Struthio camelus: one gene and its partners. The protein of the gene in region 4 interacts with the protein of the main gene of each other region in a pairwise test. Links are inferred from orthologs where the notes say so. Each region holds a gene or a part of one and is shown on either strand. Other genes may lie near its edges. The genes, in order: GPR25, PGAP2, FAM3C and CREB3L1.

What was found.
Region 1: the proteins of CREB3L1 (region 4) and GPR25 interact in binary tests that used the Homo sapiens proteins (3 or more experiments, as listed by UniProt). The two-hybrid records come from large-scale screens. The link is inferred for Struthio camelus from reciprocal best matches to the Homo sapiens genes CREB3L1 and GPR25.
Region 2: the proteins of CREB3L1 (region 4) and PGAP2 interact in binary tests that used the Homo sapiens proteins (3 or more experiments, as listed by UniProt). The two-hybrid records come from large-scale screens. The link is inferred for Struthio camelus from reciprocal best matches to the Homo sapiens genes CREB3L1 and PGAP2.
Region 3: the proteins of CREB3L1 (region 4) and FAM3C interact in binary tests that used the Homo sapiens proteins (3 or more experiments, as listed by UniProt). The two-hybrid records come from large-scale screens. The link is inferred for Struthio camelus from reciprocal best matches to the Homo sapiens genes CREB3L1 and FAM3C.

The regions. Positions count from the first base shown.
Region 1 is NC_090965.1:4,031,839-4,039,184, forward strand, and holds the start of GPR25 (probable G-protein coupled receptor 25), read right to left. Parts: upstream 3,007-7,346; 5' UTR 2,508-3,006; coding exon 1,404-2,507; 3' UTR 1-1,403. Other genes in the region: uncharacterized protein, read right to left, coding at 3,083-3,259, 5,284-5,425, 5,534-5,678, 6,564-6,600, 7,121-7,315. UniProt on the Homo sapiens protein: Orphan receptor.
Region 2 is NC_090942.1:224,221,343-224,228,627, reverse strand, and holds the start of PGAP2 (post-GPI attachment to proteins factor 2), read right to left. Parts: upstream 3,016-7,285; 5' UTR 2,956-3,015; intron 1,854-2,955; 5' UTR 1,685-1,853; intron 1,548-1,684; exon of another isoform or gene 1,529-1,547; 5' UTR 1,519-1,528; coding exon 1,354-1,518; intron 1-1,353.
Region 3 is NC_090942.1:26,047,942-26,055,518, reverse strand, and holds the start of FAM3C (protein FAM3C), read right to left. Parts: upstream 3,004-7,577; 5' UTR 2,869-3,003; intron 2,649-2,868; exon of another isoform or gene 2,532-2,648; intron 1-2,531. UniProt on the Homo sapiens protein: May be involved in retinal laminar formation. Promotes epithelial to mesenchymal transition.
Region 4 is NC_090946.1:40,126,505-40,134,490, forward strand, and holds the start of CREB3L1 (cyclic AMP-responsive element-binding protein 3-like protein 1), read right to left. Parts: upstream 3,018-7,986; 5' UTR 2,956-3,017; coding exon 2,848-2,955; intron 1-2,847.

The DNA of each region.
Region 1 (7,346 bases), on a different chromosome or scaffold from region 4:
TGTCTCGTGGATGCTGCTGTTTCATTGGCATGATGGTATTTTATTCCCCTTCGAGGGGGTCAAGGCAGGAAACCCTGGCAGTGCGGGGCGCCGCGTAGCGAGAAAGTGAACGGGAAGAAAAACGGTTTAGAGCCGTTTGGCAGGGGAAAACGCGGGGCGAGAAGGCAAGGGAAACGCTTGCGGCCTCAGTGCTGCTGCTCTCCCATCGATGCCCACGCTCGGGGCCAGCGCGGAGGTGGCCGGGATGCGTCGGCCGCCTCCGAGAGCGCGTGTCCCCGCGCCCGGGCACCCCGGCTGTCCCCCGTGGGCTGTGTGCTGGGAAACGGCAGCTCATTTTGCAAAGCGGCGCATTTAGGAGGCAGGCGGCGGAGGTGGCCGTCCTGCGTCGGCCAGGGCCCGGGATCGGCGGGCGCGGGAAAGCCGCGGCAGAAAGGGCACGGTTGCAGAAAGCCCGTCTCAAAAAGCCCGGCGCAATGGTTTCTAATCGAGTAACCGTGGCTCAAAATTTCCACAAGCGGCCCGGGGCCAGGCTGCCAAGTGCCACCACCGAAAGCGGCGGTTCCCATAGACATCTGCCCCGGTCTCGGCAAAGCTTCTCTGAACCACAGCTGAGCATTAAAACATATTTATTCCACAAGCAGGCTATAAAAATAGCTGTTCATAAGACCGAAATCAATGCTGAAAGTGGGCACGCAGATTCCTGCTTGCAAGCTTATTTCTTTTAACCTGCTAAGCTTATTAAGAGCATTTTATCATACGATTACTTAACAGAGAGAGAGTGCTGCCGTTTTGGGTTGTATGATCACAGCTGCAGTTGTTCCGCCCGTGTTATCGATATATTTGAGAAGTAGAGGCAATCCCACAAAAGCAGCAATAGCCCTGCGAGACACAAACTCAGCAGCTAGTGGAATCGATGCAAGGAATTGCACCACGTGCTGGGGCTGATGCCACCCGCAATGGCTTTAACCCAAGGCTGCTTGGTTTAATTAAGCTCATAATCACACAGCAGGTCTGAAATGATGGCGGCTGCGGAGGGACGGGTCTGGGCTCTGGGAAACCGTCACCTTGCGCCTGCGACGGCATCTGCCTGGCCCCGGTGATGCCCTGGGCAGGCCCTGGGAAGTCGGCAGGGACAAAGCTTAGCAGCCGCTTTGGAAAAGCATCCGAACCCGTGGTGTGGGGAGCTGCAGCTTCACCTGCCGGGACCAACTTTAGCAGCTGTTTTGGAAACGCATCCGAATCTGTGGCGCAGGGCTGTGCTGGAGCCAGGAAACCCCCCCCCCCCAGAAAGGGCTCATCCTGCGCTCCCTCAGCCCCGCAGCTCTCTCTCTGCAATGCTTTGAAGAGATGAGGAAGGTAGACAAGCCCAGGCACTTGCTCAAGCTCAGCCCTCCCCAAATGACCTACTCGTTTGGCCCCCAATCCTTCTCCTCTTGCACTGCTGGCCAGCGCCCCGGCGGTGCGGACGGCTTGGTCCTGACGCCGAACATGAGGCTGGACTCGGTCACAGAGGACGTCGTGGCCATGTTGTGCCCCTTCTCTGCGGGGGAAAGGCAGAGCACCCGGAGAGCCGGGGGCAGCAGCTGGCGCCGGAAATGGCGATCCATCAGGGTGTAAATGATGGGGTTGACGCAGCTGTTCATGAAGGCCAGGCATGTGCTGCTGGTGACGACCCACCTCAAGGCCTCCTCCTCCACCTCGGAGAGGACCAGCATCCCCTTCGCGATGAAGAAGAGCAACACCTTGCAGACATTCAAGGGCAGCCAGGAGCAGATGAAGGCTCCGACGATGGTGAAGATGATCCGGTGGGAGTTCCTCATCCCCTTCCCCAGCCTGATGTGCCTGTGGAGCTGGTAGTAGATGGAGCAGTAGCAGAACAAGATGACCGCCAGTGGCAGGAGGAAGGTGAGGAAGACCATTGCCAGGCTGAAATCCTCCCCATCCTCATCCCAACAGTCATCTCCATCTAGCCGCCGGTACTCCAGGGACGGCGCACCCAGGAGGAGGGACACAACCCAGATCAGCCCACAAGTGACAAAGACGTGCCTCTTGGACCCCGTCATCTTGGTATCCAGCACCTTCCTGATGACCAGGTAGCGCTCCACGCTCAGGGCGGTGAGGAAGAGGATGCTGGAGCAGCGGTTCACAGTGATGGCGTAGCTGCTCACCTTGCAGAGCCCTTCCCCGAGCTGCCAGCGGTTCCCATGGGCGCCTGCCACGACCCAGAAGGGCAGGGTGCAGACGAAGATCACGTCGGCCACAGCCAGGTTCAGCACAAACGTATCCACCATCCTCTTGCTGCCTCTCTTCTTGGCCAGCAGCACGATCACAAAGAGGTTCCCCACGAAGCCAAGGAGGAAAATGAAGGAGTAGAGGATGGGGATGAAGACGGTCATGTAGGACGACTCCCACCTGGAGAAACGCTCCTCCGTCCCCGTGGATTTGGTCCCCACTGGGTAATCGTAGTCTGCGGACAGCACGAAGTCCTCGGCTGCTTGGGGACCCATGTCGGCATCCCCAGCGCCTGGCCGCGAGTGCGGGCAGGGACGGCGGCTCTGGGCCCCGCGGTGCCGTGCCCCCTCCCCAGCCGCCCTGGGCGGTGCTCACCTCGCCCAGTGGTTTGGTTGTTGATCTGCAATCTGCTCAAAACAGTGTTTTGCACTTCCTTTCGTACGGGGGCAAGGGCTGCAGGGTGGAAGGGTGCCGGAGGGTATGAGGTGAGCCGCGTTTAATTTTGGAAACAGAAAAACAATGAGAAAAACAGAGAGAGGAAAGAAACCCCCAGAGGAGGCGGGGGTGGAGGCAGGTGAAGCAGGTGAAGGCCACAGGCCGCAGGTGGACACAAAGCCATCCCAGCCTGGCTCTCTCCCAGGCCTCGTAGGCTGGGGAAAGGGGGAAGGCGCAGGGAAGTTTGGGGCAGGCGGCGGCTCTCGAATCCCAAGGGGTTCCCGGCTTTCTCATTTCGGGGGCGAGACGCGGGGCTGGGGGAGCCCACGGCTCCCAGGGACCGACGCGGCCGCGGCCCCGTTTCGCCCCGAACGGGCTCGTAGGCGCTCGGGCAACCGGCCCACACTCGGTTGATTTACAGGCCGCTGAGCGGAGGCGTGCGGGGCAGGGGGGCGGCGGCGGAGGGCTGATCCCCGGGGGGCCGCCGGCCGCCCGCCTCCGGCCACCGCTCGATGCGCCTCAGGCTCTGCCGGACCCGGAGGAACTCAGGCCGGCGCTCCGGCTCCCGGCCCAGGGCCGCTTCCCGCTCGTGCTGCCGGGAGAGGGGCCGGCGTCGGCGTCGGGGGCGGCCACGGCCCCGACCGGCCCCCCTCGGTTGTCCTCCGACCCGGCCCCCTCTCGGCCCTTCCCCGGATCCAGCCTCCCTCCAACAGGCCTCCCTTGGCCAAATCCCCAAATCCAGTCTCCCCCGGCCGTCCCCCAGATCCAGCCTCCCTCGGCCGTCCCCCAGATCCAGCCTCCCTCGGCCGCCCCCCAGATCCAGCCTCCCCCGGCCACCCCCCAGATCCAGCCTCCCCCAGCCACCCCCCAGATCCAGCCTCCCTCGGCCGCCCCCCAAATCCAGCCTCCCTCGGCCGTCCCCCAGATCCAGCCTCCCTCGGCCACCCCCCAAATCCAGCCTCCCTCGGTCACCCCCCAGATCCAGCCTCCCTCGGCCACCCCCCAAATCCAGCCTCCCTCGGCCACCCCCCAGATCCAGCCTCCCTCGGCCGCCCCCCAAATCCAGCCTCCCTCGGCCGTCCCCCAAATCCAGCCTCCCTCGGTCACCCCCCAGATCCAGCCTCCCCCGGCCGCCCCCCAGATCCAGCCTCCCTCGGTCACCCCCCAGATCCAGCCTCCCTCGGCCGCCCCCCAGATCCAGCCTCCCTCGGTCACCCCCCAGATCCAGCCTCCCTCGGTCACCCCCCAGATCCAGCCTCCCTCGGCCGTCCCCCAGATCCAGCCTCCCTCGGTCACCCCCCAGATCCAGCCTCCCTCGGCCGCCCCCCAGATCCAGCCTCCCTCGGCCACCCCCCAGATCCAGCCTCCCCCGGCCGCCCCCCAGATCCAGCCTCCCCCGGCCACCCCCCAAATCCAGCCTCCCTCGGCCGCCCCCCAGATCCAGCCTCCCTCGGTCACCCCCCAGATCCAGCCTCCCTCGGCCACCCCCCAGATCCAGCCTCCCCCGGCCACCCCCCAGATCCAGCCTCCCCCGGCCGTCCCCCAGATCCAGCCTCCCTCGGCCACCCCCCAAATCCAGCCTCCCTCGGTCACCCCCCAAATCCAGCCTCCCTCGGCCGTCCCCCAGATCCAGCCTCCCCCGGCCGCCCCCCAGATCCAGCCTCCCTCGGCCACCCCCCAGATCCAGCCTCCCCCGGCCGCCCCCCAGATCCAGCCTCCCCCGGCCGCCCCCCAGATCCAGCCTCCCTCGGTCACCCCCCAGATCCAGCCTCCCTCGGCCACCCCCCAGATCCAGCCTCCCTCGGCCACCCCCCAAATCCAGCCTCCCCCAGCCACCCCCCAGATCCAGCCTCCCTCGGCCACCCCCCAGATCCAGCCTCCCTCGGCCGCCCCCCAGATCCAGCCTCCCTCGGCCACCCCCCAAATCCAGCCTCCCCCAGCCACCCCCCAGATCCAGCCTCCCCCGGCCGCCCCCCAAATCCAGCCTCCCTCGGCCGTCCCCCAAATCCAGCCTCCCTCGGTCACCCCCCAGATCCAGCCTCCCTCGGTCACCCCCCAAATCCAGCCTCCCTCGGCCACCCCCCAGATCCAGCCTCCCTCGGCCGTCCCCCAAATCCAGCCTCCCCCGGCCACCCCCCAAATCCAGCCTCCCTCGGCCACCCCCCAGATCCAGCCTCCCTCAGCCACCCCCCAAATCCAGCCTCCCTCGGCCGTCCCCCAAATCCAGCCTCCCTCAGCTGTCCCCCAAATCCAGCCTCCCCCGGCCACCCCCCAAATCCAGCCTCCCCCGGCCGCCCCCCAGATCCAGCCTCCCCCGGCCACCCCCCAAATCCAGCCTCCCTTGGCCGTCCCCCAAATCCAGCCTCCCCCGGCCGTCCCCCAGATCCAGCCTCCCTCGGCCACCCCTGCATCCAGCCCCTGGGGCAATGAGGAATGGACAGAGGGACAAAGGAGGGACGGGTGGAGGCTTGGATGGAGGGATCGGTGCAAGGATGAAGGGAGGAAGGGATGGAGGGAGGAAGGACGGCTGGGCTAGAGGGATGGAGGGGGGCGGATGGAGAACGGAGGGACGAAGGAAGGAGGGTGGACGGAGGGGGCCAGAGGGGTGGCACGGACCTCCTCGAGCCTCTGCTGCCGTTTCCTCAGCTGCTGCTCCAGGTCCGTGGTGGCTTCCCGCTGCTCCTCCTGCCGCCGCTGCCTCAGCCGCCGGCTCTCCAGCGCCCGCGGGAGCTCGGCCGTGTGCCGGGGCAGGATCCCCCTGCGAGGACGGCGGGATGGGCCCCACTGCGGTGGCCAGCCCTGCCACTCCGCTGGCCCTGCTCGGGGACTGTCCCATGCCCCAGCCCCACACCCTGGCCCCACTCACCTCCCGTGGCTGAAGAGTAGCTCCCGGTGCAGCTCCCGATGGCGCCGGGACTCCCGCACAGGGTTTGGCACCTTTCTTGGCTGGATGAGGCCGCCGTGGCCATCAGCAGCTGGGGCTGGGGTGAGGCCATGGCTGCTGTCACCCTCTGGGGTGGAAAGTGGGGGTCACTGGGAGACAGGGTCCCTGGGGACAGGGTCACCAGGCCAGTGGGGTCACCAGGGGATAGGGCCACCAGGGGAAGGGGTCACCACAGGATGGCATCCCTGGTGATGGGGTCACCAGGGGGATGGAGGCCCAAGGGGGATGGGATTCCTGGGGAGAGGGTCACCAGGAGATGGGGTCACTGACAGATGAGGTCACTGGGAGAGCCCATCTCCAGCATCACCACAGGGACAGGGTCACTGGGGATGGGGTCATCAGGGGACATGGTTACCAAGGGATGGGGTCACCTCCAGGGCACTACAGAGGGGGTTCAGAGCCACTCCAGAGGACAGGTCCCACTCCAGAGAGCACCAGCCTGCTGTCCCTGTCCCCAGGCCACCCCATGGTCCCCATCGCCCTTTGGGTCCTCATTGTCCCTTCAGGTCTCCATCACCCTTCAGGTCCCCTTGCTCCTTGGAGTCCCTATTGACACCCTGAGGTCCCCATGGCCCCTCAGGGCCCCCATAACCCTGCAGGTCCCCATCATCCCTTCGGGTCCCCATTGCTCCTCAGGTCCCCACCACTCCCTTGGGTCTCTATCACCCCTCATGTCCCCATTGTCCCTTGGGCCCCTGTGGCCCCTTGGGTCCCCATTGCCCCTCAGGTCCCCACCACCCCCTTGGGTCTCCATCACCCCTCATGTCCCCTTGTCCCTTGGGCCCCTGTGGCCCCTCAGGTCCCCATTGCCTCTGGGGTGCCCATGGCCTCTTGGTGTCCCCATCACCTGTTGGGTCCCCATAGCCCCTCATGTCCCCATTGCCCCTCAGGTCCCCATTGCCCCTTGGGGTCTCCATCACCCCTGGGGTCCCGCAGCCCCGGCAGCACCTACCCGGCACCTCGCTGCTCCTCGTGGCTTTGCAGCCGCCCTGGCGAAGGTGAAGCACGAGGTCAGAGAGGGCCATGGAGTGAAACCCGGCAGGTTTTGAGGGGGACATTGTGGGTCCCTGCCCATCACCACCTGCCCCGTGGACCGGGACAGGATACGGCCATGGGCTCCCCGGGAAGCCAACTTCACTGGGGCCAGTGTGGGGCAGCTGCACCATGGCTGTCACCCAAGGGGACTGAGTCACCCGCCAGCCCCGCTCCAGGTGTAGGTACACCGACACCAAGTGAGTCCCGCATCAAGTGGAGGCTGACCCCACTCCTCCCGTCTCCCAGTGCTCCCCTCACTCTTCCCCACATCCGCCCCTGTGTTAACTCTGGAACCCAAGGATGGCAAGGGGACAGCCGGACTTTGGGCTCTGGGGCATCAGTGCAGTGCCTGGGAACAGGTCTTGGGGTGGCCAGACAGGACCTACCATGCCTTCCCCTCCGAGCCCCGGCACAGGAGAGGCTCCCCCGCACGTCCCTGTCCCCAGGCCGTCCCGGCGACCTGCCACCACTCACCTGCTTGCTCTGCGACAGCCCCATGCACCCGCCGCCGGCGGTCCTTGTCCCACCAGGCGACCGTGAGGCTGGGGGCCAGGGGCGCGCAGGGGCCGAGAGGGCACGGACCAGGTGCGGGGGGCCCAGCGAGCCGCCCCCGTCAGCTTCCCCAGCGCCGCCGGCCCGCGCGGCCCCTGCTCCGCTCGCGAAAGCCATTAAGCCCCGGGATTAGCCCTGCTGGGCGGCG
Region 2 (7,285 bases), on a different chromosome or scaffold from region 4:
GTGATCTCGTTCGGTCTGGCCGGCACCCAGGTAGAGCTGCGTACCCACAGTCTCCTGTGGATGGACAGTCCACAGATCCACTACCCTCTGCTTGAGGAGGAGCCGGGTCCCACGGGGTTGCTGCCAACCTGCCACCTCCATACGGCGTCCTCTAACTCTGACGCTGGCAGAGGGCGAACGGGATCCCTGTCTGTGCTCTGCACGCCAGCCATGGCTTTAGAGGTCTCTATCCTACCTCTCCCACCTCATCATCTCTTCCCATTTGACAATGAAGGATCCTTGCTTACTTCGTCATCCCCACGTGACGCCTCTGAGCATCCTCGCTGCTCTCCTCCGTACAGATCCCGTACTGCTGCTTGGGAGGAGGGGACAGACCTGCACGCGTTGTTCAAGACACGTCTCAGCCACGGGCCAACACCGGCATGAATGCCGCCCGCTCTGCTCTACTCCTTTCCTAACAACTCCTGGGCTTTGATTGACTTTTTCAACTACTCCTGAGCACCGAGTGGAAGTTTCACGAGAACATCTATCGCTCCCCCAGACCTCACTCCGGAGCGGCGATGGTCAGCGCAGAGCCCACCTCCACCTCATTGTAGGCAACCTCAGGAGTGCCTGTCCACATGCACATCACTTATTTCTCTGCATGGAACCGCACTGGCATTTTGCTGCTCGGTCGCCCAGCTGCGTCCCGCCCTGGACGCAGCCCCTGACAGCCTGCCTCACCCTTCCTGCACCAGCACCTTGCCATCGCCAGCAGTCTTCGTCACCCCACTGCGCACGGGCACAAGGAAGACCACAGACACCTGTAACACCCTGAGGTCACCTCCTCCTGCTGCTGTGAGAGCTGAGATTATCTACTCCTGCCTTTTCGCTAGGTGCTTGTGCAGGCACAGACTTCCACGCTTGTGCCGCGGCTGCTTGAAAGCCTTGGTGAGGAACCTGATCCGAACCCTTCTGGGAACCCAAGAGGTCCCTGTCAACCGGACCGCTCCCAGGCACGCGCTTGCGACTCCTCCAGTGCCTCCAAGAGGCAGGAACTCCTTTTGCCAAAGCTGGGTTAACTCTTCCATGAGACACCATCTTTATCTGCAGCTTCGCTAGTTCTGCTCTCCAGTCACCACCCGCCTGCTCAGCACAGACGTCGGCCAGGCCAGGCTGCGCTACCCTCCATCCCTTTTTAAAAGCGGGAACCTCAACCGCTAGTCACGCGGCATCAGCAGCACAATAACGGAGAGGAACGTATCCAAGGTCACGTATCCCGGCGGGGGGGAGAGCGCGGAGCAAGGCAGGATTCCCGCCGCGCCAGGCGCCCCCTTTGCAGACCTCTGCGTTTGGCCGGTGAGAGGCGCTTACCCCGCAGTGGGTGGCTGTCGTCTCCTGGAAATGGAACAGCAGAGACCAGATCACGCAGAAAAGGAAACCAAACAGCGGGCAGAACACGGTGCCAACAGCCAGCGTGGTGAAACGGAGCCGGAACAGGATCCCATCGCGGTCCAGGGGCAGCGGTACCTGTAACATGTCGACGGACCTGCAAAGAAGAAGCGGAGGTGGGAAGGGGACGGAGCAGCCCGTGGCGAAGTGCAGCCCTCCGCCCCCCCCCCCCAAAGGACGCGGCCCCTCTTTCGGGCTGCGGAGCCACCCCCCGGGGCTCCCGTCAAACCCTGGCAGGGGGGAAGCAGCTTACCAGCGAGGGTCGGAGGCCGGCGGCGGCGTGCCGGCCCCCCCGGCGGCGCTGAGCTCCTCGGCGCGGGGGCAGCGTCTGCCGCAAGGGCTGCGTCCGGCTCCGGCTCCGGGCCGTTACCTGCGCGGCGGCTCGGCCATCGCGGCCGCTCTAGGCATCGCGCTGGGGGGGGCTGCGGGCAAACGGGGGGGGGGGGGGGGGGGGGGCGACGTGAGAGCCTGGCCCGGCCCCCGCGCGGCCAAAGCCGAAAAGCGAATCAGCGCTGTGACCGTCCGAAGAGCTCAACACCCCCCACCCCACCCCGGCCCCCCGTGACCCCCCCTCTCGCTCCCAACATGACCCACCCCCAGCCCCCCCCAGCTCCATCCGTGACCCCCCCCGGCTCCCCACTCCCCCCGTCCCCCCCAGCTCCATCCGTGACCCCCCCCAGCTCCTCACTGCCCCCACGACTCCCTCAGCCCCCTGCTCCCCCCCCGGCCCCCTCACTCCCCCCGTCACCCACCCCCAGTCCCCCCCAGCTCCATCCGTGACCCCCCCCAGCTCCTCACTGCCCCCATGACTCCCTCAGCCCCCTGCTCCCCCCCCGGCCCCCTCACTCCCCCCGTCACCCACCCCCAGTCCCCCCCAGCTCCATCCGTGACCCCCCCCAGCTCCTCACTGCCCCCACGACTCCCCCAGCCCCCTGCTCCCCCCCCGGCCCCCTCACTCCCCCCGTCACCCACCCCCAGTCCCCCCCAGCTCCATCCGTGACCCTCCCCAGCTCCTCACTGCCCCCACGACTCCCTCAGCCCCCTGCTCCCCCCCCGGCCCCCTCACTCCCCCCGTCACCCACCCCCAGTCCCCCCCAGCTCCATCCGTGACCCCCCCCCAGCTCCTCACTGCCCCCACGACTCCCTCAGCCCCCTGCTCCCCCCCCCGGCCCCCTCACTCCCCCCGTCACCCACCCCCAGTCCCCCCCAGCTCCATCCGTGACCCCCCCGGCTCCCCACTCCCCCCACCTCCTCCCATGACCCCCCCAGGTCCTCACTGCCCCCACGACCCCCCCGGCTCCCCCCATCCCCTGTGACCCCCCCCAGCCGCCTGCCACCCCCCCGGCTCCCCACTCCCCCCGTGACCGCCCCCCGGCACCTCACTGCCCCTACGACCCTCCCACCCCCCCGCTCCCCGCCACCCCCCCGGCTCCTCACTCCCCCTTGCTCCCCCCGGCCCCCCGTGACCCCTCCAGCTCTCCGCTCCCCCCACGTCTCCCCCCCCCGTGACCCCCTCGCACCCACCGGCCCCACACGGCTCAGTCCCGCCGCCGCCGCCGCTCCTCCCCGTCCTCCCCTTCCTCCTCCCCCCGCCGCCCGCCTCTTCCTGCCCACCCTGGGCCAGGCCGCGCCCGCTCATCCCTCCTCTTCCTCCCGCCTCCGGCCCCACGCGGGGCGCGGCGGGGCCCAGCGCTCTCTGAGGCGGCCCCACGCGGGGCGCGGCGGGCCCGAGGCCGCTCCGGGGAGGCCCCACGCGGGGCGCGGCGGGCCCGAGGGCTCTCTGGGGCGGCCCCACGCGGGGCGCGGCAGGGCCAAGAGCTTGTGTGTCTCTTTGGTGCAGCCCCACAGGAGCGTACGGCGGCGCCGAAGGCTCTGGGTCAACATCGAGCGCCCCACGGGGACGCGCGTGGGGCTGGAATCGCCTTCGGCCCCGCGGGGCGCCTCCCCCCCCCCGGTGGAGCAAGTGCTTCCCCGCGGCGCCCCTTTAAGGCCCTCGGCCCCGCCCGCTGCGTCACAACATGGAGGCGGCCCGGCGCTGCCGGGTTGGCCAGGCCGGGGGAAGTCCCGCCCCCCAACGCCCCGGATGTAGGGTAGCCCAGTGGTGCGGCTGTTCTGGACCCTTCCTCAGTGGCCGCCCTTCCCCCTCCCGGGGCCCGGCCAATCGGCGCTCGGGTCGCCGCAGGACGCGGCGCGTGGCTGCAGCCAATCAGAGAGCAGCAGCCCCTTCGCTTCCCGTTCCCACCAGGGTGAGGTGGGAGGGGAGGGGAGCCGTCTCGCTTTCAAAGAGCGGCAGCCAATGAGCGGCGGGCGCGCGGGGGCGGGGCCGGCCAATAGGGTAGGCGGGAGCGGCGCGCGCGCCGCGGCGCAGGGGCGGCTGGGAGGCGCGCGGAGCGGAGTGTGACGCAGATTCCCTCCCCCTGTGAGGCGGCGGCGGCGGCGCGGGAGAGGCGAGGCGAGGCCCGGCCCGGTGCGGCCCGGCCTGGCGCGGCCCGGCGCTTCCCTTCCCCCGGCCCTTCGGCGACCCGCGCCCGCGGTGAGCGACGGGGACGGCCCCGGGCGGGCGGGGGGCGCCCCGCGGCCTTTGTTGGGCGGTGCCGGGAAAGGGGGGAGGGCCGGGCCGCGGCTCCACGCGCGGCCCCGGGGCCGGGCCGGGCCGGTGAGGAGGGGGGGAGGCCGCGCTGTTCCCCAGCCGCCTCCACCGCGAAGGGGCTGCGGGTGACCTTCGCTGCCGGTTCGGTTCCGCGCCCCCGGCGGTGCGGAGCGCCCCGGCCGGGCCGGCCCCCGCCGGGCCGTGGCGGTGTGGGAGTTTGTCGGGCTGGCTCCGTGGGGGGGGGGGGCGCGCGGGGTGAAGCCGAGCCCTCCGTCCCCACAACCGCTGCGCGTTTACACGTTACCTGTAAACTCGGCAGCGTAGGCGCTGCCCCGCTTTCAGGGGCTTAAAGCGGTGGGGGTCTGGGAGCAGCGCCACGGGTCTGTTAACGCGGTGTTTAAATTATGTTCAGGTATCTTGGTTCAGGCTCTGTTTGGGTGCGGTTTGAGGCTCGTGTTATGTTGCTGTAAAACTATGGTTAGAGCCCTCTTCTTCAGGTAAAGCAAGGGAATGGCTGCCGATCAGGTGAAGGTTGAGTAGGGTGCAGGACTTGATTTGTGTATCGAGAAGATGTTAGAGGAGCGTTTTGGAAAAAATCCCCTTTTACTAAGCCTGCTATTGTTCTTCACTTCTTAGATGCTACTTCAAATATGCTTTCATGGAATAGTTCCTGAGTAAATTTGTTCGATGCTGTGTTTTAAGTGCGATAGACAGTTGTCTGGATGAGGCATTCCCATACCACTGACCTAGGTTAGTAATGTAACTACTTACCTATCCAAGGCATTAGTAATCTAATGAAGACTGAGCTCTGTTTTTGTGGTAGCTTGTCAAACCTGAGCTTCTGAGAATCGGTAGTTAAGGAAGAGGAGGTGCCAAGGGAGAATGAGGAAGTTTGAAAGCAAGTGGGAAAGCTTGTTTTTAAAGTTTTTTGAAGCTTGCTTGCTTTTTAGAAAGTTATTTCAGAAGGAATTTGAGGAAGGATAAAGAGAATTTGATATTAAACGACAGTCATGGTGTTCGACTTTGAAAAAATAACGGCGTAAACAAGGGAACAGTGAAAGCAGAGGGGTCTTGTGAAGCGAAAATAAAATTGAGACCAATCATAATTGAAATATGGTCTGAGAAGTAACTGAATGTTGGTCTTCAAAGAGATTGACGTTGCCCGTGGGGCAAAAGTGAAATAACTGAAAGCACTGTAGAGGAACGAGTAAGAATGCATCTGAGGTGGATGTAAAATTCAAGGTATGAGAGTGCACTCAGACTGGGAATCCAGGTCGCTTGCGTCTTGGAAGTGTGGAGGGATAGGTAGTGTCTTTTTAAGGTGTGCTAAGAGGAGATGTAATCGCATAACTAACAAACAGAGAATGCATTAAATTTGAAGTCTTGGGAGATAGGTTGGGGGGGGGATGATGAATGTTCTTGGAAGCTACCTACAGTTTTGGTAAAACAGAAAAGTTTAGCTTTTGAAGAAACACAGAACACATGGTCATGCGTTCTGTCCCACTGTCCAAAGCTGGTTTCTGCTGAATAACCAAACGTGGTGGTCTTGGCACCACTGTGGGAATGTGCTTATGGAAGAATTGGAAGTACACTTGGAAGATCGTGCACAATGCCGAAGCTTTGGGAGCGGGCCGTCAGTGGGAGATGGAGTTAGGAGGAATTCTCGTACGTTTTAAATATAACGTTACCTTGCATCCCGTGGAAACGATTGTATTTTGTGACAGGCAACGCTCTATTCCAGGAGGCCGATTTTAGTCTGAGGATTTTCTAATATTTCTTCAAACGAGCTTTTTTTACTTAGCCCCCAATCATTTTACGTAAAGTACTCTTAAAGTGTGTAATGAAGTCAGTAAGGCCTTACGGGTGTGAGTGGGAAGATTCTTAAGGCTACGAAATTTCGACGTGTTATTGGATTTACTAGTGTTTTGAATAATTGATGATTACCCCACGCTTTTCTGTGGGGAAAATACAATAGTTTTGCACTGCTGTAGCTTAGCTATTGCTACCAACAGTGAAAAATCTTCCTAGATAATATTAGTACTTTCAGTGGTGGAAGAATAAAAACATCTGCTAGCCCTAATACAGGAAAAAAGACTGCAAATTGTACTGACTAGATCATGATTGAGGGTGGTGTCCCCCCGCCCCACCCCCAGCTTGATAGTATTGAAAAAGGCATTGCATTGTGTCTGTGTCTGCGCTTGGAAAAGAGTTTGGAGAGAGGTAGCGTTGCTAAGTGTTTCTGCGAATAAAACAGTAGGTGTTGTAAGGGGAAATTGGGCCTCTGCCTAAACAGTGTAAGACCTTAAAAAGCCTTTTAGAAAGTTTTTACTGGAGTTAAGAAAATTTTGATACAATCTGTGAGCAATAAATCAAAAGTTGGTGGAAGGTCTACTCCTGTAATACCTGTACAATGCATTTCCTTCATTTCTTGTGTCTTGTTTGAAGTAGCTGGCAAGTAGAGTTTAATAGAAAATTAGCTGTGGAAGATCCTAGAGTGTCACAGGAACAGCTGTTGTACAATGCAAGTCTTTGTGTGCCTTCTTAAAAGAGCGTTTTAGTGGGGTGGACTTCCAGGCACCACAGGTGATTGCGCAAACATGAGTGTTAGGGTGACAGGAAAGACAAATGTAACAAACTGTAGCTCCAGTCTATCATAGAGGACTGTGCTAAAAGTATAACTCTCCTCTACTGATGTAGGCACCTCCCACACCCATGATGTGCCACCAGTGAGACCTCCGTTCTGTTGATGCTTAGGAGATCCAGACAGCATTGGCAAAATTGGTTTTGTTTTTTTCTCTCTCTTCCCATGAACAGAAAAAACTCTGTAGCCAAGGGAGAAGAAACTCACTGGCTGTCCATGTGGAAGTACAGAAACTTGTGATGAAATCTTGATATGTGTTAGAACTCTTATACCCCAGCGTTACAGAAACAGGCCCCAGTCAGACTGTTAGCAGAATAGGGGGGAACGGTATCACGGTATCCACTCTCTCTGATGTTACTGAGATGCGGCATTAGTCAGCTAATGTTGTACTCTGCTTAGCTTCCTGACTGATTTTGCATGGATTGTTTCAAGGATGCTGAGGTTTTGTGATGTTACTAAAGTATTAGTGTTCTAGACTTATTTAGAATTCTGACCATCTGCATGAACTTAAATCTTGCTCTCATGCATATTATGCCTGGACTATTCAAATTAGATTGCTTACATCAACAGTGAGGAAGATGAAAAATGCCTTTTCAAAGTAAGCTTTACATAAATGCTGAATT
Region 3 (7,577 bases), on a different chromosome or scaffold from region 4:
TAGCTCACTGTAAAAATTTTCGAAATTTGTGGATAATATCAAGATGCAGGGAACTACAAACAAATCAAAGGAAAGAATGAGAACTACAAATTATCCAACTTCTTTTTTTTTTTTTTAAAGAAAAAATTCCTTAGGTCCTTTCATAATCCATATCCCACTAAAAAAGTCTATATTTGGGTTCATGGTTCAGCATCGATTTTTAGAAGACAAAGTGGGAAGGCAGGAGCATCTATTTATATGTTATAGATGTTTTAACATCCATATTGAAAAATCTGGTGTTAAGAGATGTTTCATGCAGCAATACCAGTTTAAAGTTATTTCCCTCTTGCCACTTTTTCCCACTCTCATGTCACTAGGCCTCAGGCCTGGATAATACTACAAAGCATAGAAACTTGGGAGACACGCTGATCTCATCTGCCAGGTTGTTGCTGCTGCCAAAAAAGAGAGTCACACTAAACCTTTTCTCCAGCCCTGGCCACATGGTTTTGCTCACTAAGCAAGAAAAAAAAAAGCTAACTTAGTGAAAGAGAATGAATACATTTCTGCCAGTCTAGCAGACAACTTTCAGGAGCGGTAGGGAGCAGAGCACAGCACCATTAGGCTGTTAGATTTGCTCAGCCTTCTCATGAAGCCTCACTGTCAAACTAGGTTTTCTGATGGTATTGCCAATTATATTTTTCCTGAAGTAATCCTGAGAATTTATAGACTGCCTCGGTTTCAGATAAATATGATACTTCCCAGAGAGATCCTTCTAGAATGCTAAAGAGTTGTAATTAATTCCAGTGCTACTGACAGCAAAATGATTATCACAGGGTTGTACAGCAGGCCACTGGCAGAGAAAATGTGTGATTTACAATAACTAAACCTTAAATTCTAAACTTCCTTAGCAGATTTTAGTGGAAAACTCAAAACGGAATATCTATACCATTTATACTAAGCCTTAGGGAGATACTGGTGGCTAACATAAGTGATAAGGCTTGCAGTCCTTACACTCCCAGGTCACCCCTTTGATTTCATAGGGAATGCGGATTGAAAAAAAACAGAAATCTAAACAAACAGATTCTATCTGAATAACCCAAGGCTTAAGTAAGAAGTTCTCTGTGTCTGCTAAAGATTCATCTTATGGACACTTTAGGCTATAAAATAATCTGTAAGCAAAACGATATATATTTTTGTGACTTATACTGTACCAATCCATCTTGTGATCTTACAGGAAAAAATCCCTCTCCTTATGCTAATCTTCTGGAAAAAAAAAATTAAGTGTTCAATTACAGTTCACATTTTAAACATTAGCTTGGCAAAAATTCATTAAACTCTCGAACTTTTTCTATATTATACCTCTTTCCTTACAGTGCTGAGAGAATTATCATTAAATGTAGAATTTCAATGCCCTGTCCCACTAGGGCTGCATCTAGAGATGCTGGGCAATAACATGTGGGTAAAGCCAGGCTATTTCCTCAGTTAGCTACTTACTCCACACTCTTACTAGATGAGATAGTCAGATCTGTTGTAAATAGACAGAAAGAGAAGCAATGGCTGCAATAAAACCACATACCTCCTCCATCCTTAAGTGATTGGATATTGTTACACAATGCTAAGCTATTAACTTGTAAAGCGTCTGTCTTCAGGCTTCAAGCAAGTTTCAAAACTTGTTTTGCCAAACAGACAACTATGCAAGCCAACAGATCAAAAAGACTTCTTCCCTCAAAGAATCCCTCTGCGGCCAGGGGTCATCCTGGGCCTAACGAAGTGAGTTGTACCTTGATTACCCTCACAGGCTTTAAGAAGGGACAAATATGCACAGGCGTTTCATTTTTTCTAAATAATTCTACTGTTAGGGTTAAATAATACTTTGGTGGAGAAACAGAACTGCCAGCTATGTTCACCTGCAACAGAGAACCATAGATTCAAAGCCTGTATGGACTTATGGGGAACACAGAATAATACAAAAAAAAAAAAAAGCCATGTATATACAAAGATGTTTTTAAAAGTCATGAGTTGCTACAATATCGTTTAATCCCATTTTAAATTTGAGAAAATTGAAAGAAAAGGAAATCAGGCGAGTTACACAGCCTGTCTGCAACTCAGACAAAACCATAACTGAAGATACGGTAGCACTTACCTACAGTAATGAAAAACAGATAAAAGGATTATACGTTTTCCTACATCACAAACATCAGAAAGTAGAAACCAAAGAAACACACGCTACTTCTACATCTACCTCCCCGCAGATCTAGACACGTAGCACTTTCTCCTTGTCCGTTTCAGGACGGTCCTCTACAACACTGTAATTTAACGTTTGAGTTAAACACGGGTTGATCCTTTTAACTCCCCCGTCAGCGATGCCCATGATCCACTACTCAACAGTGCGCAACGAGGGAACAGCAAAACCAATCAGAAAGAAATACTTATACACGTATGTACATATACACATATATACATATACACACACACACATATATATACACTGTGCTACTACTTTGTGGCAACAGTAAAAGACTGACTACAACAAAAACAGCTTGCTTACCTACCTACACCGGGGCACTTAACCACACGGCCAGGTGACCCGGCTCCTCGCCTCCCGCTGCCTGCGCGGCGGCTGCCGGAGCCGGAGCCCCAGCCGCCGCCGCCGGCCCCACGCTCGCAGGTCAGGGGGTGACGAGCGGCGGAGCGGCCCCGAGGGGGCAGCAGGGCCGGGGGCAGCCGCGGAGACCCCGGCCCGCGGCCGAGGGGCGCGGCGGGAGCGGCTGGGACAGCGCCAAGAGGCAGCCGGGAGCGGCGGCGGGGGCCGCGGCCGGCTCCGGCGGCAGGGGCCGCCCGCGCCGCACGGAGGGGGCGCAGGACGCCGCGGAGGACGCGGCTCCCTACCTGGGCTGCGCTGGGCGGCCGCGGCGCTCGGCGTCCCCGTGTCCCTCGGCGGCCGCGCCGGCTCCCCGGCCCGCCCGCCCGCAGCGCCCGGCGGCGACGGAGCAGGAAGCCGAGCGGTGCCCGCCACAGCTGCGGCGGCAGACAGAGAGGAAGGGGCGAGGCGGAGCGGCGCGCCCGCCCCCTAGTGGTGGCGGACCGGGGGCGGCGCGGCCCCGCCCCGCAGCCGCGCCCCAGCCCGGCCCTCCCGCCCCGCTGCCGCGCTCCCTGGCGCAGCGGGCGGCGGGTTGGCGGCTGCCCTCGAGGCAAAAAAAAAAAAAACCCGATAGACGCGTTTTTTGGGGGCGGCGACGTGAGTCCTGACGCCCATCACTAGGTCCGTGGGCGAGCCCGCCTGGCCTCGGCTTCCTTCCACGTCCGCAGGGTCTTTCTGCCCGTCGGGGGCTGAGGCGCGGGGGCCGGCGTCGCCCCCCTCCCTCCGCTGCTCGGCCACGCGCCCTACGGCCAGGGCTGTGCGCATCGTTTCTAGCTGCTGTTGACGCTGGTGCCTGCTGTAGCAGCGTTTCGCAGGGGTGACAGCGAGTTCTTCGACAGCTTAAGGAAACCCGACCTTCTAAATGTGTGACCTCCGTCACGCCCGCAGGTCCACCGCCGTCCGTCTGGCTACCAGCCCAGCTCAAACAAGGGGGAAAAAGTGTGCTAGGTACCTCTGAAAATCAGCCTTAAGGCACCTAGTGTCACAGGCTAGGAGGAAACAAGGGCTAGAGCCAGGATTATATTGGTTTTCCGGGCCGTCTATCCCGTGTCTGTCGCGGTGGGTGAGCTTCTGAGTCAGACTCATAACATGGGTGAAACTGGTTGAGTTTTAGGAAGTGGGCTTGTGGGGGAGAAGGATGAAGAGTTTGCAGATAAAAAGCACGAATTTCATCTTTTCTTTTATATTTTAAGCCTCTTTTAACCCAAAAGTTATTTTCTGTTGCAAAACAGGGAAGGTATTGTCTACTTTAAAAAAACACATCTTTTATTTAACCTTTTTGATCAGTAGGACGGAGCTGATCTAACTGAGTTATTGCAAAAGAAAGGAAAAGGCAATCCCTCTCTCCTCTTTGTCTCCACCAATGCTCTGTGGCTGCTTTTTTTTTTTCTTCTTTTCTTGAGGGGAGGCACTGGTCATCTAACTCTGTCGTGAGCTGGTACAGGGAGATAAGCTGACAGCAGACTAACCGTTTTATTTTGTGGGAGAGAAGTTCTGTCGATGTAACTCCCTCAGCCGGACTGTTGCTGGGGTGTGTATAGCAAGTACTCAGACTGCAGATAGCCACGTTCGGTCAGTTAGATTATTGTCAAACTACGAAGGGAACGTTTTTGCAAAATAGGTATGGTAGTTCTTAGTCACAGCTAAAATATAGGGAATATCACACATCGTCAGAGTCAAATAGACAAAAGGAAGTTTCTTATTTTAACCACATCTGGTCAACAGATCTTTCTTTTGACAAGCTTAAAATAACATACTCTGCTACCAACGGGCCCTTGGTACAGAATGGTTGTTTGATCATCAGTCAGGTAATTTCTTTATTAAATTCTTGCAACACACTGAAGATTCAGGCATACTTTAATCTCAGAATTAATGAAGAAATACACAGTGGGTGGAGCATTACTCAAGCAAGAAAGAGTTTATAGCTTTTATTTCTAAGTATTTGATATAGATATATCTTAATTTGACAGTTATTTCGGTGCTTAACATATGAAAGTCCACCTTGTTCTCCTGATTGCCTGTCAGGTCGCGCTACCACGTAACAGACTAATAAGGTCAGCGTGTTATCAGAGGCTGGCTTCTTTGATAAGTAAATATTTGCTATAGAAGCAAACATTTTCAAGAGATTACATAAATAGCAATATCAAATTATTAAAAGAGGAAATATTGTTATCTGCACAGTAACCAACACCTTAAAATACATCTGTATCGAAGTCAAAGAAATAAGGAAGACTTGAGAAAGGCCACAATTAAATAAAGGTCATTATTTACCTGCCTGACTGAACGGGTGCCACAACTCACACAGGGAGTAGACGCACGTTTCTCCAGAAGTTCCCCAGAAATATGGCAGCTGGCAGGAGCCCAAAAAAAGGGAGTATTCAAGACCTCACAGTGTCTTAAGATGGCTCTGAATATTAAGTATCTCTTCTTGCTATCGTTTACGAGGTTCTGCAGAATCTGAATTGCTTTGTGCACAGTGTTGTGATCTGAAGTTAGGCATCTATTACTGACTCATTAATAAAAAAGTACAGTAACACTTTGATAAATCATACTATACCTGAACATGATAACAGTACAAGTGCAGCCTTTGCACAAGTACTTTTTATGATTTGTTGCTCCGTAGCGAAGTGCTTCTACATTATGGTTGTCACAGCTTACTGGCATCACTGGGTGATTTTTAAACAGCAAGTGACCCTGATGGGATCACCCTCGTTTGATTCCAGTGTGCAGTGCTCTGATCGTGCTCTGATCACATACAAGCATCACGGTGCCAAAGATACCATTTCTATGCATCACCAAAACTCCCTCACAAAGCGGTCGGTTGTGCTTCACGTTCCACTGGTTGTAGGTGGTGAGCACACCTTACTAGCTACAGTAGATACATCCCTGTAAGTACCTTCCTTAATGTATTCTATTGGCTAAGCAGCACCTCCCTAGGTTTGGTATATCTAAAAAGGCCATCAATTGTATATGAAGCCAAATATGAACAAAATTATTAGAAGAAATGTGCCCGGGCAAAGCAACAGTAGCCTCTATGGGTTCGGCTGAAAGAAATCTGTTTACATGATTTACACTACTAATTCAAAGAATCATTTGTTGTTTGTTGAGTCTGATACTCTTTTGCCTGTTGTTTATTATTAATGAGATTAAGCAATTTCAATTTTTTCTAATTTGTCTTGTAATGAAATGGCTATGGCCATTAAATATAGAACTTCCATAAAAAGTAAAAATGAAATCTATCTCTTTAGGGTTTTTTTTTTTTTTTGCTTCTTACTCGCTTGTGATGAATTTACCATTTTTGCTTCTGTAAATTAAGAAAGTCAGTAATAACAAGGATACCACATGGAATACGTTTCATAACCACATAATGAAATTCTAAATTTATAATTTTTAAACCAAAAATTGTTATATTTATTAAAAATTATAAAGCAAAAAATAGCTTGTTTGTATCCTTCAACCGTTAAACACTAAGAAAAAGCTCCACAGTAAGCATTTATTTTGGTTCTGTATTTTGCAAATATCAGAAGCCAAAGTTCCTTAAGAATTGAGGTGCTTTGGGTCTCAACAAAGTTGAACTTCACGGTTGGGCCTATCACCATGATAAGCTGAAAAAAATGCCTAAGCTGAAACTCACATCTTTGAAGAGTTTCTTTCCTAGTATCTCTAGCATTTGACCTGAACTTACTTTCTTAAATCTCTCATAACTACTAGTTTTTAATAAAAGAAATTATGGCACTGCACTGTTTTTTTTTTTTTTAGAAAATGATAACAGTGCCATCATATAATTACAAAAGGTTAAGTGAAGTGATACCTGAGTTTATTTAGTGCACTAAGACTAATGGAGATTAATGTAGTAAAATACCAAATCAAAATGCTTCCAGGTACTTCATCTTTAGGCTTCTGACTACTGCCTCTGGCAATAGATATTCTACTAATCAGTTATGATTTTCTGATCTGGTATCAGAGCAATTCCTGATGTTTTTTAAAAAATACATTTTTTTGGTAAGTATAAATTTGACATTTATATGCTATAAATTAAAACTTTTGCCTCGGTGGACCTTTCCATGGAGTTTTGAATGAGCCAGCCATTAGACTACTGGCAGACACCTAGTTCTCTTAAGCATGGAAAATTTGTGGTATAACAAGTTACTTCTCTCCATGCAGCAGCACAATCATAGAAAACACTTATCTTGGCATCTAATACAATAAGTATTACATTGCCTAAAGTAAAAAGATGCAAACCCTAAGCATCTTTTATAAGTTATTAAAAAAAAGAAAAAAAAAGAAAGTGAAGAAAGTTGCTTAGAGAATGCTCCAGGCAATTTGCCTTGAAGCAAATGGAAAATGTGTTTTTCACCAAGTTGCAAGTCACTTGAACTATAAATAGAAACTAAAATGTAAAACTACAACATGAAGTGACTTAGGCTCTCTCCTCTTTCCTCTCCTTTCCTCTTCCAAACAAGCAAAAACGTGTATGGAAAAGTCATCTCTGAAAGACCATTTTATTAGCTTTCTGGCTGGTGTCAGCAAGCTTTATATAAACAGAATGAGCCTGTGTCTGAACAAAAATGTATTATTCAATATGTGCCCTATGGTGTAGCAGATATTTGCAATAGATATGTTCTCTCTTTAGTGACCTCTCCCCCCGTTCCTGTCAGAAGTGAGTTTACAAGCAGCCAAAACATCAGATTTATGATATGAGAAGTCTGAGTGACAATAGATAGAAAAAGCAGGAAGTAATTGAAGGATCTGAGTCCAGGCGAGGACTTTAAACACTTCAAACCTTTCTTGGTGCTGATGTGCTAATCCGGATCAGTATTTTATAGATCTCCCCTTTTTCTGTAATAAGTCAAAATAAACTCCATGTCATTACCAAAGCATTACCAAACTTTCAGGTCTGTTTTTTTTTCTCTTTATTTTGTTTCATTTTTGTTCAAGTTGAGGACTTATGGTTATA
Region 4 (7,986 bases):
AATTGCATTTGTCTTTGCTGAATTTCATGAGGCTTCTGTCAGCCCATTCCTCTGGCCTGTCTGGGTCCCTCTGGATGGCAGCTCCCAGACTTGTTCAAACCAATATTTTTTTTTTTTCTTTTTCAAGCACATGGACCTCTTTAAGGATGCATCAACAGATGTGCTGTCATTACTTCGGTTTGTCACACCTTCAAATGAACAATGCAGAGAATCTTTTTTTAAAGGACATGATGATTAGTTAAGAATGCTAGCATTCAAGAAAGGAGAGTAGTTCAGAAGAATGTAATTCTCATCCCAAATGAGCACAGCCTCATCAGTAGGGAATATGAAGGTTCATCCATCCTTTCTTTCTTTCTGCTTCAATTCTGAACAGAAGAAATCTTCCTAAGAAAAAGTTTCATACTGGCATTTTATGGCCAAAATTCCTGTTTGAAGAAAAATACTTGCTGAACAATATCTGGAAATGTTTGTTCATCTTTGAAGCAAAGGCACTGGCAGCCTTTGAGCACTACTGTGCATGGTGATGCTCTGCACAGTTCTGTGTAAGAAGATCTTCTCGAAAGATTTCAAGATCCCATGAGAATTGCTGGATTTAATAGCAAAATGTAACTGTATTCCTTTCCACCATGTTATCATGCAGAACTGGAACAAAGAGGGTGATATATTATGTTCTGGCTCATGTATCATCAACAGATTTGATAGCTGAGCAACAGCTACAGAATCTCTTCTATTTATCATACACAGGAAGACAAGGTATCAGCTTGACTCTCATACTCCAGGGAAGTTTATGGTGCTGGCAATTGGGAAAAAAAACCAAAGCATTTATTTTTCTACTTGTAAGTTGAGCACAACAGTGCCAGAGTCACTGCAACCTAATGAAAGTGGAGACCAGAGCAGGCAACTTTGAGAAGCAGCATTGCAAGCAGAAAGGCCATTGAAATCAGGTAGGAAAGAGCCAGCCTCTTCATGATCAGTGTATACTTTAAAAACACTGTCCTGGCAGGTGGCACCAGATGGCACTCTTACACAAAAGCTTCTTTTTCGCATGGTCTGCTTGCACACAGAAGATATATTCAAACTATAAGGAGGTACCCTGTGTGTTTTAAAGGGGTTCCCTGCCTTCTTATTGCAGTCCATGTTGGACCTATATAAAAGGACTGATGTTACGCCCTATTATTTTCATGTAGGTAAGGGAACGGTCCTGGCATAAAGCACTTCTCTATCAGCACAGCTTCATCCACTTTGGATGTAGATGGAGTTAGGGAAAACACAGAACTCATAACAACAGGTCTTTCAGCTGTGAGCAAACAAGGCCTCACAGTGCGAGCAAGCATTCAGTCTCAGGGTGACTTGCCATCGGCAGTTCTAGAACAAGGCGAGAGTCTGCTGCCTCCCGTAGTCCCCAACTGGCATCAGTCCCTGAGGCACAGCAGCGTCTTGGAAATTAGGAGTTGGTGAGATTTCTGAGAGACAGGATTGGCTGCTGATAATCTCTCTTACAGACCCACTGTGTCTCCACACACCAAGTGTGGTACACTTAACATATATGCAAATTCTGCTTCTCTACTATCTCCTTCATAAGGGAGGCAGCATAAAAGGAAGGGCTTCAGGCTTCTGCTTAGGAAAGCAGAAGAGGATTTATCAGGTGCTTAATGGCTATAGCCCCCCTTTCCCTGCCCCCTGCTCCTGTGTCATAGTGCTGGCATCACCCCTACTCCCATTGCAAGGCTAGTGCTCAGAGATGCTCACAGTGCTGCGCTGAGAGCACAGGAGGTGCCAGTATTGTGGCAAGGGAATAACAAGTCAGGGCTAAAATCTCTCTGCCTGGAAGCTTGGTCTGTGGCAGGCACACTGTCCCGTGGCTGAGGCTGCTCGGAGGCTGGGGGAGCCCCGAGTGCAGGCAGTGCCTCTCTGCCGAGCGTGGGAGGATCCCCCACCTTCACCCCAACCCATCCATGATGTGAGACCCTTCCCCTTCCTCATCAGGGCAGCATCCTCCCTGGTAGAGGGGCAGCAAGATTTGCAGCACAAATTTCCACCAAAGACACAGCTCCCATTGCTCAGGCAGGACAGCAAAGAGCCTAGGGGCAGCGTTCAGGGAGCTGCCGGACTCAGGACTCGCATGACTCCACAGAGAGGCTGGGCAGTTTCCTTAGAGGTGAACAATGCCCCTTTGGTTTCTTGGGACCGGCAATACATTTTTCTCCCAAGTCACTCTTCCCCCTCACTCTTCGCTCCAAAGTAAATCCTCCCAGCTTTAACAGGCGGGAGATGCTTCATCTCCCAAATGCCACTCCGCAAAGAAGTTATAACCACATGAAAACAGAGGCGTTGAGCCGAAAGGTCTCCCGACACCACCCGACCGTGCGTGCCTCCCGCGCTGTCTGAGCCGAGCCGCGGCAGGTTGCGCGCTCCCCCTCGGACCGCACGCCTCTCTCCAAGGCAGGAGTCCTTGAAAAGGGCATGTTAGGAAGAATCGGTCCTCTTCCGGCGGGTGCCTGTGGCGGGCAGCGCCGGGGTACCGCGCTGCAGGATGCCTGCGGGCAGTGGGGCGCGGGGCTGGCCCCGGGAGGCGCTGGCCGTGGGCGGCGGGAGGGCCGGCAGCCCGGGTACCTGCCCGCCGCGCGCCGGGGCGAGCGCGCCCGGTGCGCGCAAGCCCCGGGACAGGCACCCGGGCACACGCCGCCCCGGGAGCCGGCTGCGCCGCGAGAGAGGCGCCGAGCCCCGACGCGTGCCCCGTCCCAGCTGCGGCGGGGCCCGCCGGGACACCCTGCCGGGGCGGCCGCCCCCGCCGGGGGCACCGCGCGGGGGCTGCCGGCGGTCGCCGCCGCCCGCTGCGCCCCTTACCACATTGCTGAGGAAATCCGCCTCGCTGAAGTCGCCGAGGTCGAGGAAGCCGGGGCCGCCGGCGGGGAAGAGCCGCTCGGCGGGGAAGGGCTCCAGGATACTGTCCATGGTGCCCGCGGCGGCGGGGCGGCTCCGCGGCTGGCCGCGCTCCGCCGGCCGGGCTCACTGCGGCGCGGCGCGGGCAGGGCAGGGCACGGTCCCGCCGCCCAGGGGCCGGCGGCGGTCCATGGGGCGGCGGGGCCGCGGCCGGGGGCGCGGCGCCGCCGCGGGAGCGAGCTGCCAGCGGGGGGCCGGGAGCGCCGTGCCGGGCCGGGCCGGGCCGCGCCGGGGTCCCGCTCGGGCCAGCTGTCAGTGGCCGGCTCCGGAGGGGCTCGGCAGGCTGCACCGCCCGGCCGGCCCGGCACGCCCCCGCCTCATGAATAGGGAAGCGGCCGCGGGGCGGGACTTGCCTCGCCGACACCCCCTTAAGGGAGCGCGGCTGCCGCCGGGCAGCACCCTCGGCCGGGCCCGCTCCGCCGCCGGGCGCCGCGCTGCAGCCCCCCCCGCGCCCGGCAGGGCATCCCCCGCCGTGCCCCCAGCGTCTGCCCGCGATGCCCCCGCTCACCCCCCCGCGGGGCCCCGGGAAGGGATCTGGAGTGCAGCGAGGAGCAGGCTGGAGGCAAGGTACCAGCCAGCCTCCTCCTGAGACTCCCCCATCTGCCCCAGGACACCAGTGACTAGTGGTGAGGGGCTGGGTGACCCGCTGCCATGCTCAGAAGGCCCTGGGCCACCAGGACCACCGGGAGGGCAAGACCTGCAGCTGCCCGGGGCTGGCTGGGCCACCAGGCCCTGGGGCTGCCTCGCTGCTCCCCGGACAGCAGCGGGTGCCTGAGGGCAAAACAGATCCCCAGCAGTGTGATTTCAGTTTGGTGAACTGAGCAAACCCTCCCTTTAGCAGATCCAGAGATACCACTGCAAGCTGATAGGCAATGGCGGTCTGTGGCGGCCCCTGAGTATCCCTCAGGGAGCAGAGTCAGAAAAGATGGGTCTTCAGAGAGCTCAGTTCCTAAAGTGCAGCCACAAGCCCTGCAGGGAGATCTTCTTGCCATGGCTCTCAATAACAGGCTTGCAGGTGGGCCTGGCTGCAGCAGCCCATCCGACTGCTCTGTAATTAAGGAGCTTCAGGAAGATTATATGGCTTCAGATAAATAGGATTATGGATCCCTGTCCTCTCAGATCCTTATTCCAACCAACACTCAAGAAAACCACTTATAATAATCCTGTTGAAGAAACTCTGATGTTTTATTAATCTGTTCCTGCCTTCATGGCTCCACGAAGGGTGGCCAAGAGTCCCAACTCCCAGCAGTGGCTTTCTTGATCACAAGCATATGGATTAAAAAAAAAAAGACAACAGTGCATCTCTCCTGGGAGAAATGTAGCTAGAAGTTGCCAACAGTGAGGGTCACTGTGGGGAAATGCAGTTCTGAGGCTTGCTGGGGCCTGTGTCTGAACCAGACGCTAGGTTTCCACTGTGTGGCCCTCATGGGCTCTTGCCATGTTCCACAAAGACCTTAGGACTATCACCACTACCCTAGACACTCCTTGGCTGCTCATCACACTAGCCTCCACGTGCTACCTTCCCCACATAAAAGCCTTTATACTGGTACACACAAAGGGCTCTTTCAGTTACATTTACTTTTACCTTATGTTTCAGTCAAGTGTAAAGAGCCTTCAGGTAAAACGGCCAAAGATATAAATTCGGCCAGGATGGAACTGTGCTGCTGTTTTCACAAAGTCAGTTAATTTCTTACGTATATGAGGGAGGAATGGCATTTGGAAATCATCTTCTAAAGAGAGAAGACACTTGCAGTTTCTGCAAAGCAGTACTTGGATCCTATTGCAATAAAATGCTGGGAACAAAACAAAATACGTCTTCTCTGTGAATAGGATCAATGCAGGCCCTGCTCTCCCATCACTTTGATGGGGCATCATGAGCAACTCACACTCTCACGCTTCTGGAATGGCATAGCCATCGCATCCTGATCCCTCATGCTCCAGTGTACCACAATAACTGTCCAATCACTGCCATTAAACAGATAAAATAATGCTGTTCTCACCGGACTGTTCCTCTTTCCTTAATGGTAAAGAAATAGCTTTGTCAACAAGGGAGCCAGTGGGTATAAAGCTGGAAACATAGAAACCTTTACCACTGTAAGATGAGGAGAAGAAATGGGTCCAGACCCTTCAGAAAGCGGTGAATCTCTATCTCCAAGGAAGGTGACAGACATATTTCCTTAAACTTAACAGTTAGAGGAATTCTCAGTTCTGGTGGGGTAGAAGGACCAAGGACTGCAATAGTAATGGTGTTCCAGATGAGGGTCAAGGTGCTACAACGCTTTGTTGTAGAGCTACAACAGGGGAAGCTTCCACCACCTGTCACTAACCAAACACGGATATCACTTCCGTAACTGCTAAGATTTACCAATGAAATTAAGCGTTTGTGGTTCAGGGCCTCACCCAAGTTAACACAAGGAAGCAGGAGAAGTCAAGGCATACACTGTATTTATCCTCAGTGCAGGCAGAGGAATCTGAGACGGTGAGTTACAGCAACTGTTTGCACTGAATGGGTGGCGGTGTCATCAGAAAAGGTCAAGCAAAGTAAACCTGACTTGTTTGTCTGCATTGTAAAGGGAAAATGCTTTGGCACAGTCCAACAGGAGTTCTGTGAAGTCTGCCCTAAAGATTCAAACATCTCAAAAATATGAAATTGTCTGTTCTGAGACCCTGTTTGTATTTCATATATTTAGTACTGAACATAAATGCCTCAGACTCGGTCTACTGAAGCTGTTGCTGTACCTCTGCAGGTGAGGAATGATTGTAACAAATCTTCCTTTTCAATATCTGCACTGCAAAGCTAGTCTGTCCCATCCTGAAGAACTGTGAAGGGAAACCCCATCTCCAGCACTTTTATGAAGCTTTGCAAGAGACAAGTAACACTCTTCCCACGTTAGACATGAGTGCAGTCCAGTAAAGGCAACACAAGCGTAGTTACCTCTGCGTTCAGTGAGAATCACTGCTGACCCTTTGGAGCCAAAAAGGAGAGTTATTTCTGCAGACTAGCAGTTTTGTATTCCAAAAGAGACCTGAGGATAAAGAAAGTGTTGATGGGGTGAAGGGAGATAACCAGAATTCAGAACGATCTGGTGCACCTCACTGGGGTGTACACACTGAGGGCGAGGAAGGACAGGCCGAGTAGCAGTTCTGTGGAAGAGGCCTGGGAACTATAGGGCTTGCAGCGCTTGAACAAGTGTTAACAGTGTCTGTAGCTGTGAAAAAGCCAAGTGCCATGCTGCGATATAAATGCAGAAACCCTCCTACAAACCTTTAAGACATATAAGAGCTCCCCTTCTGCCCTGCAGAGTAGTGGTGCAAAACACAGTGTTAGCCAGAACATCATATCCCTCTGGGCTTGCACACCTCGAGGAAGGTGGGACTAACGGGGCAGAGTCCAGAGGAGGGCACTGAGAACAACTGGAAGTCTACAAAAAAACCTGAGAGAACTGAGCTTCTTTTGTCTAAAGAGAAGAGTCTCATGCCAGCAGTCTTTAGGCATTCAAACAATTGTGGGAAAGAGGAAGGCAATAATTTCTCTCCATTGCCACAGTGAAGGGGACAAGCAGTAACAGACTCACATCCTAGTAAGGAAACTTCAGAACAGGTCATAGAAAAAAATACCTAATGGCAAAAATAGTGACTAGGTGCCTGGGAGGTGGCAACGTCTCTACCACTGGAGCTTTTTTAAAAGCAAGTTCTGCAGACATCTCTTGGGACATAAATATCGCCGATCAACATCCACCCTTCGGGCAGGGGCTGAATCACATGATCGCTCAAATTCCTTTTCAGCCCTATTTTATCTGATTTTATATTTAGGTTTATTTGCAATCTGATCACAGAAAGATTCTGAAAGAGCAACCAAGTATGTTTAGACTGAACAAGCCCCAAACTGACCACAAAGAGGCCCTCCTGGCTTTGCAGCATTTGATACTGCAAATGCACATATATGACCAAGATCATTGCTGATAATGGAATAATCAACCAAATTTTCATAACAAAAGGATCCTACTCTTCTGTGCTCCGTTCTGCCTTGTCTTGCTGCTGCTGCTTTCCTTTATACCTGTGAAGAGAGAGAGAGTAGGAAATGCAAGTCCCTCATCATATCACTTTGCGCTCACTTTGCCTTCACTCTGCGCTGTGGCGGGCAACGCATACAAGGCAAGGGAACCAGACTCTGAGCTTGAACATGTGCACAGCGATCCAGTCCATTTTGCAGCCCACAAAGCTGAAATTTTTGTTTCCCTCCAGACCGAGCCAGGAGGTTTGACAAACTCATAGAGAATGAGTGTTTCTTGAGGAATGTGGGCAAATTGCATATGTCAGTGATTTCTGGTTTGCTGCATGCATACTGCCTTGTTACAGGAGGGATCATCTGGCTGATGTTTGCCTTCATTTTCAGCCTAGAAAGCCAGTATGGGACTGATTCACACTGTTAGAACTGTTTGCTTTGGGGTTCAGACTGGTTTTAGGGACTGCCACCATAGCACAAAGTTTTTACTTCAAGTATGGCAATGGATACCATTTGGTCTGTTTATTTTTCCAGCTTTGGTGATCATATGAATGGAACTGCTGGCTTCTACCACAAGCCATCTTCCTAGCCACTAAGGCTTTCCGGAGCCCGTGCCTTGCAGGCTCCATATTTTGGCCTATCAGTAGTTCTTTCTAGCTGTCCTGCCTTTATTTCTCTCCAGTTCTTCTCTGGATGTGATTACCTCTGGGTATTGCTTGGTGGTGGGTTTGCTCACTGACCTGTGCGCCACAGATTGAGGGAGCAACTGCTGTGCTCTAGGTCCCTTCTGCTCCTCAAGTCCCACCAAAACAAGGTGAGGATGGAGACAGGACTTTCAGCCTAGTTCAGAGGAGAGGTACTGCAGTCGCCAGACAGTCTCAGAGAGTGTAAGACCCATCATACAAGTAGCCACAGATCCAGCATTCAGGCTGCAATTTCTTCATTTGGTTTTTGCGGGAATGATTTAAAAGCTGTGAAAAAGTCAAGACAGGAGGCGAGGAATTTACTGAAACATCTTCTAACAGAAGGTCACTTTC